3 linked regions of the Kluyveromyces lactis genome follow. The protein of the gene in region 1 binds, or shares a complex with, the protein of each later gene. Links are inferred from orthologs where the notes say so. Each region holds a gene or a part of one and is shown in the gene's direction. Other genes may lie near its edges.

Evidence for each region.
Region 2: RPC34 (region 1) and RPB5 share a complex: the UniProt entries of both Saccharomyces cerevisiae proteins name them as parts of the RNA polymerase III (Pol III) complex. The link is inferred for Kluyveromyces lactis from reciprocal best matches to the Saccharomyces cerevisiae genes RPC34 and RPB5.
Region 3: RPC34 (region 1) and RPC11 share a complex: the UniProt entries of both Saccharomyces cerevisiae proteins name them as parts of the RNA polymerase III (Pol III) complex. The link is inferred for Kluyveromyces lactis from reciprocal best matches to the Saccharomyces cerevisiae genes RPC34 and RPC11.

The regions. Positions count from the first base shown.
Region 1 is NC_006040.1:383,804-386,595, reverse strand, and holds RPC34 (DNA-directed RNA polymerase III subunit C34), read left to right. Parts: upstream 1-1,150; coding exon 1,151-2,242; downstream 2,243-2,792. Other genes in the region: putative ATP-dependent permease ADP1, read left to right, coding at 1-863; NNR2 (NADHX dehydratase), read right to left, coding at 2,375-2,792. UniProt on the Saccharomyces cerevisiae protein: DNA-dependent RNA polymerase catalyzes the transcription of DNA into RNA using the four ribonucleoside triphosphates as substrates. Specific peripheric component of RNA polymerase III which synthesizes small RNAs, such as 5S rRNA and tRNAs.
Region 2 is NC_006042.1:1,968,470-1,970,725, forward strand, and holds RPB5 (DNA-directed RNA polymerase core subunit RPB5), read left to right. Parts: upstream 1-1,108; coding exon 1,109-1,756; downstream 1,757-2,256. Other genes in the region: DUF1 (Duf1p), read left to right, coding at 1-567; RIB7 (2,5-diamino-6-(ribosylamino)-4(3H)-pyrimidinone 5'-phosphate reductase), read right to left, coding at 2,018-2,256. UniProt on the Saccharomyces cerevisiae protein: DNA-dependent RNA polymerases catalyze the transcription of DNA into RNA using the four ribonucleoside triphosphates as substrates.
Region 3 is NC_006042.1:1,707,704-1,709,821, reverse strand, and holds RPC11 (DNA-directed RNA polymerase III core subunit RPC11), read left to right. Parts: upstream 1-1,164; coding exon 1,165-1,503; downstream 1,504-2,118. Other genes in the region: ORC2 (origin recognition complex subunit 2), read right to left, coding at 1-788; HEM13 (coproporphyrinogen oxidase), read right to left, coding at 1,951-2,118. UniProt on the Saccharomyces cerevisiae protein: DNA-dependent RNA polymerase catalyzes the transcription of DNA into RNA using the four ribonucleoside triphosphates as substrates. Component of RNA polymerase III which synthesizes small RNAs, such as 5S rRNA and tRNAs.

The DNA.
Region 1 (2,792 bases):
GAATTCCACAAGCATACAAAGCGGCAACTTTCTTGCAGCAACTCTCAATTTTGAGTTCAAGAACGTTCAAAAATGTCTGCAGGAATCCAAAGCTATTGTTAGGTAACTACGTCTTGACGGTAGCTTTGGGTTTATTCCTGGGTATCCTATACTATAATGTTGAAAACGATATCAGTGGATTCCAAAACAGACTAGGCCTTTTCTTCTTTATTTTAACGTATTTCGGTTTCCTGACATTCACTGGGTTAAGCTCCTTCTCTTTGGAAAGATTGATTTTTATCAAGGAACGTTCCAATCATTACTATTCTCCGCTAGCGTATTACATTTCAAAAATACTATCTGATATTATTCCATTACGTGTGGTACCACCTATCCTACTTGGGTTAATACTTTATCCTTTGGTTGGTTTAAATATGAATGATAATGGGTTCTTCAAATTTGAAGGTATTCTAATCTTATTCAACCTTGCCATCTCACTGGAGATTTTGACAGTTGGTATCATTTTTGAAGACTTGAATAACTCGATTATAATCAGTGTTTTGATAATCCTTGGTTCTTTGTTATTCAGTGGATTATTCATCAACACTAAGGATATTAACAATATTCTGTTCAAATATTTGAAGAACCTTTCAGTGTTCTATTACGCCTACGAATCTTTGATTATCAATGAAGTCAAGTCTTTGGTTCTTAGAGAGAAGAAGTATGGTCTCAATATTGAAATCCCAGGTGCCACTATCCTAAGCACATTCGGTTTCATCGTACAAAACCTAGTGTTCGATGTCAAAATACTAGCGCTATTCAATGTCATATTCCTAATATTCGGCTATTTCGCTCTTAAGTTGATAGTTATTGAGCAAAAGTGATCAAAAAATCATGGAGCTTATAAAAAGAGTGACGAACAGCCACTCAAACACAAAATTAGAATCTATTTAATACTGAAAGTTCATATATATTCAAAAGAATACAACTCTTATTACCGTAAGCCTAGTACAGGGAAGTTCATTTATTGATAGAAGTACTTTCATGTATCGGATCTCTTTATGTTCTCCATTGACTATATTGTGTGTATAACTTCCATCTGTTTGCCGCTTTTCTTTTGGAATGGATTCAAAAAAAAAAAACTGATCAAAGCTCAAAATAATAGCACGCGATGAGAAGAGGAATGGTTCAACTTATCGAACTAATAATTGATGAAAGAGTCAGACGCCTGACAAATTTACAAACTGATCTATTGAACCATTATTTAGGCCTACCTCTATTATTGTTAGGAACGCAAACGGTGTATTTTCCTTCGAAACCGATAATGAATTCGTTATTTAATTCAACAATAAAGCTCTCTGATCCAGCCAGAGAGCTGCATGAGAAGATGTGTTCTCAAGAAACTGGTAAATTGTTCTCTCAAAAAGAGTTAACTTCCATGTTAGACAACTGCTCGTTAAGTGATTTAATGCAATATGTTCAGGAACTTTTGGATAAGAATCTATTGAAGTTAGTGAAACAGAATAAAGAACTTAAGTTCCAAGCAGTAGATGCAGCTGAAGCAGAAAAGAAAAGCGGGATGAGCTCAGATGAGGCTCTTGTCTACTCATACATCGAAGCTAGTGGAAGAGAGGGTATATGGACGAAAACGATCAAGGCGAAGACAAATTTACACCAACATGTGGTTCTGAAATGTTTAAAATCACTTGAATCACAGAGGTACGTAAAGAGTGTAAAGAGTGTCAAATACCCAACCAGAAAGATATACATGCTTTACAATTTGCAACCATCCATTGACGTAACAGGTGGTCCGTGGTTCACAGATAGTGAATTGGACGTTGAGTTTATAAACAGTCTTCTGACCATCGTTTGGAGATTCACAGCGGAAAGAACATATCCAAATGGTTTTAACAACTTTTCCGACGAAAACGGTAGAGACGCACTCTATTCCAGTAACGTCAAAAGTTACACCACGATCGAAGAGATCCTTGAATTTATTTCTGAATCAGGAATATCTACAGAACAACTAACGAAACCAGATATTAGATCACTGTGCGAAGTTCTTGTATATGACGATAAGTTGGAGAAAGTATCTTTTGATTGCTTCAGAGTAACGTTGCAAAGTGTCTTACAGATGACTCAACCTGTTGGGGGACAACAAAGTTCGAAAAGAGAAGAATATTCTATATTCAGTCACGGAAATTCCATGGCAGCTTCCAGTTCAGATAAAGATGTCCTATACTTTGACGAATGGACGCTGTGAAGTTTAGATGCAAAGGTAATTTAGTCATAAAAAGAGTGTTCGTAATTGATGTATGTATATATGCCAAGAACTAATTACAAACTAATAATAAAAGCGTTCAACTTATGAGTCTGTTTTTTCTTTCTCAGTGGTTCACTGTGAAGGAGGGTATAACTCATTGAACACTTCTCCCACCATGTTGTTCATGTCAGTAGTTTGCAATTGTCTGCCTACCTTATCATAAGCAGCCCTGCTAGCCATTCTTGTTGCAGTAGATCCGATGAAACAAGATAGCATAGCCATTTTGGACCAAGGAAGATTTTCTCCGTTACCTTCTTCTACTATTGTTTCCAATTTGAAATCATGCACTGCACGAGAGAAACCAAACATGGTTGCGATTATACCGGTCAGTGTGTCACCCTGACCACCACATCTTTTCATAGATCCCTGAACGTCGTTTTCCCAACGTTCACCTTGAGAATTAACGATAATGTCATTTTGTCCCTTTGCAACAGTGATACATCCAAGCTTCTCACTAACTTTTTCCACCGAATCCACGTTCAACGCATTC
Region 2 (2,256 bases), on another chromosome or scaffold:
ACAGGGGAAACTATTGCATTTTCCACATATCTCCCACCCCCTACATATACGGCAAACGACTTGATCGATAACTACCATACTTATGAATCATTAGAAAGACATCTCCCGATATGGCTTGGAAAGATTCTTTTCAAAGAGGATAAAGTCATTAAGACGTACCCAAAAATCACATTCATCATCCAGCCTTGGAAGGACGAGGCTCATTTATCGGAGGAAACGCAACAATCGCCAGAGGCTGAAAGACTAGTAGTAGAACATAAAAGATCAGGGTTCCACAAAAAATCTAAACCACCTGAATCACCCTTAATGCTACCGAAGATTAACGATAGCAATGTTAGATTAACAGCTGCAAATATGATAAAGGCAAAAAAGATCAAGACTTACATAGTGGATAGATTCGAATCAAAGACACCTGAGATGAAAAACAAAGAAGATCCAAGCGAATGGTTAGAAATCTTGTGCAAAGGAACAGTACTAGAAAACGATATCACCCTGAGTGCTATACGCACTTTATACTGGAAATCAAACACAGACATTGTTCTTGAATATAGACGTAAACCGACTTAAAATTAAGAGAGACTGTGAGACTAAGTTCTCACCCAGGCTTATCAATATATATATATATAACTAAATATAGACATATATACAAACATAGAACTACACCTGCCGCCCTTGACTCAGAGCATTCCATACCAACACAAGACAGGCACGTGACTGAAATCATGAAGGACGAGTTTGATGGTTTGGCTCTGTTTCCTTCTTTCATCGCATTGAAATTTCGAAGGTTTGTTGAAGTTTTTCTTTTTCTTTTCAGCCAAAATTTTCCAAAATTTAGAAAGCGATGAGAAACAAATCCATTAATTTGTTGATTGAAATTTAAGAAAAGATTGAAGTTAGGTAGCCGAATAGTCCTTGTACCGGTTGAAATTAAGGGGTAAGATTAGTTTGCATATCGATAATTGAGTTCTTAGTACTTGTTTGTGCATATCGATAATTGAGTTCTTAGTACTTGTTTGTGCATTTTAGAATTTAATACGAACTAATCTTCAAGCGGAAAAAGTTAGTTTCATAAGATATCAAAGGCAAGTGACGCACAATTTTTGTAACAATGGATCAAGAGCAGGAGAGAAACATTTCCAGGCTATGGAGAGCTTTTAAAACGGTGAAGGAAATGGTTAGGGACCGTGGATATTTCATTACCCAGGAGGAAATAGATTTGAGTTTAGAAGATTTTAAGGCTAAATACTGTGATTCTATGGGCAAGCCACAACGTAAGATGATGTCTTTCCAGTCCAATCCAACCGAAGAATCAATAGAAAAATTTCCTGAGATGGGTTCATTATGGGTGGAATTCTGTGATGAAGCATCTGTTGGTGTGAAGACGATGAAGAATTTTGTGGTTCATATTACGGAAAAGAACTTCCAAACTGGTATATTCATCTATCAAAGTGGTATTACTCCAAGTGCAAACAAGATTTTACCAACTGCAGCACCAGCAGTCATCGAGACTTTCCCAGAAGCATCTTTGGTTGTCAATATTACACATCACGAACTAGTCCCAAAGCATATCAGGTTAAGTGAGGCTGAAAAGAAGGAATTATTAAAAAGATATAGATTAAAGGAATCTCAATTGCCTAGAATCCAAAGAATGGACCCAGTAGCATTATACCTTGGTTTGAAAAGAGGCGAGGTTATAAAAATTATTAGAAAGTCTGAAACTTCTGGACGTTACGCAAGTTACAGAATCTGTTTATAAGAGCAATTAAAAAGAGCCATTCCCCAACCCTAAGTAAAGTAAATGCGTGTGTATAATAATAGACCAAATTAGAGCAAGAGAAACTAATAGGGCCTTAAACACACTCTTCGTATGAGAACCCATCAGGGGATATCATAATCTAATTACGATTCTTTTTTCAATTATTTAAGGAAATGATTAATCACGTTTTGAACATAGCATGTCTGAATTAAGAGAGTTCATTGATATAAGAATTCGAATTTTTAGGAAAACAGGTAAAGATCAGGAATGGCTCACAAGACGTGAACATAACACGCTATCCCTTGTTCCCTTCCACCAGGAGATATCTTTCAAATTAATTTCAATAAGAGGAGACACTTCAACACCCTCACTACCCAAGAAGGTGGCACCAACGGTGATGACCAGGGCATCGATAAGGTGTGGTCTCTGTAGCAAATCATTGATAACAATCCCACCACCTTCAACCATGATGGATTTTAATCCGAATTGAGATTTCAATT
Region 3 (2,118 bases), on another chromosome or scaffold:
GATGAACGATGGAATATATCATTGGAAAGTTGAGAAAGAATGTTATATTCATCTCTGGAAATACTTGGTGCCGAGGACATCGAGTTCTTGGATCTTTTATCAGTTTTTAGGATCTTGGTCTGATCTATGAAACCTTCGAAACCATCGAAAAAATATATTTGAGATTGTTCATCAGATGTTTGGTCATTATTATCGCTCTTTGGCAACTTAGTCGGTTTGAAATTAGGGTTCAAGTTCAATTTCAGATGCTTATACTGCTGGATATCGTCGTATGCAAGATCATCGTCTATAATTTTATTCCTTTGAACTGTATTTCTGGTAGTCTTTCTTTGGGGTGATGGTTCTGCATTAAATGTAAGTTTTCTCCTAGGCGACTTATTAGGTGAGCTTTCATTAGAATCTATTTTAATTTTTAGATCCTCGTATTCGTCGTCATTGTGTATCAATTCATTAGTATCTGACACATAGTCAATGGCATCATCTTCCTCCAACTTCACCCTCTTGGTTGTTTTCCTTTGCCTTCGCCTGGGAGTTGCAGTATCTGTCGATGAGTGCTTCCTACTCTCTTCATCTTTATATTCAGTCTCAATGCTAACAGACTCTAATGTGAGCGATCGTTTGGGTGACTTAGGTCGTACCGTTTTGGAAGGCGAAAGAAAATCAAAACTTTTAAGTTTCTTCGGTGACTGATATCTTACTTTGGAAGGTGATATGAAAATGTCTTGGTGATTTACAATATCAATGTCTTCTTCTTCTTCCTCATTATCACTGCACTCTTTCTTCGTCATGTTTTCAAGGTTTAACCGCTCCAAGATAATCAAATACTCTAAAGTCTAGAGAATGGAAACTAACTTATAAATGTGGGAGTTGTTCTTCTATCAAACCTCGCCCACAGGTATTAACCCTATACACTATATTTGACATACAAACCTTAAATGTCAACATAAATATCGATTCAAAGTTAAAGGCATGAAGCTCTACTTTTTTTTTTCTGAAAAATTTCTATATGAGATGAGGAAAGAATTAAAACCTACTCTCAATAATTATAGCGATGAGGTTCATTTTAGAGTGTATGCGATAACGTGTTGAAGGAGCTTATGGGCAGGTAACGGTGCGTTAACGTATCGTGTTTGAGGAGTCTGACATTGAGAATTAAGTTGTAGGATGCTTTCGTTTTGCCCATTATGCAATAACATGTTGTTGGTATCAAAAGCTGATTCAGGTCTGTATAAACTAGCATGCGGATCATGCCCATACCAGTTTTTAATTGATGGGATAGAGGTATACGATAGAAAGAACCTCCCTAGGAAAGAAGTTGATGATGTCTTAGGTGGAGAAGGTGCATGGGATAATGTTGACCAGACAGCAGCACAATGTCCGAACCATGACCAATGTGCGGGTGAAAGAGCTTACTTCTTCCAGTTGCAAATCAGATCTGCAGATGAACCTATGACAACTTTCTACAAATGTGTTAACTGTGGTCATAAATGGAGAGAGAACTAGAGATTGTGTATTTTTGAAATTTACTTTGATTTCGATACGCATCAAACAAAATATTATAGATCTTCTTAGCAGTTATTACATCGCTTAGAGCAAAAAACTGACAAGAAGATAAATGTTCGGCTTTAATCGCTGCCATTTGTCTCTCGCCCAGCTAAAAACGCATGCTTAATCTTTCAAATGATGAAAGGTAGATCACGCTTTCATTAGGCTCGCAAAAGGAAGTTGTTAGGGTTTGATGAAACTTCTTCTGAATCAAAGTGTAATATAATGTATAAATCTACAAATAGATTGAACAAGACAAAATAAAAGTATTGTCGACGGCCTGACAGAACCATTTCGTGCAACGCTGTATGGTACTAACGACCGACTTGGTTTTTGAAGCGTAAGAAATTAAGATCATTAGAAACTAAGAATTAAATACATGAGACGTTACATAAATAAAGGCATTCAAACCCATTCAACAGGGTTCTTCAATACTTGGAGTAATTTATCTTCTCTAGAGTCTACTTCAGGATGATGGTCATACAACCACGAAGCAGTCACAGGCAAAGACATCAAAATACTTTCGACACGGGATCCTGGAGTTCTTAAACCGAATTGAGTACCTCTGTCAAG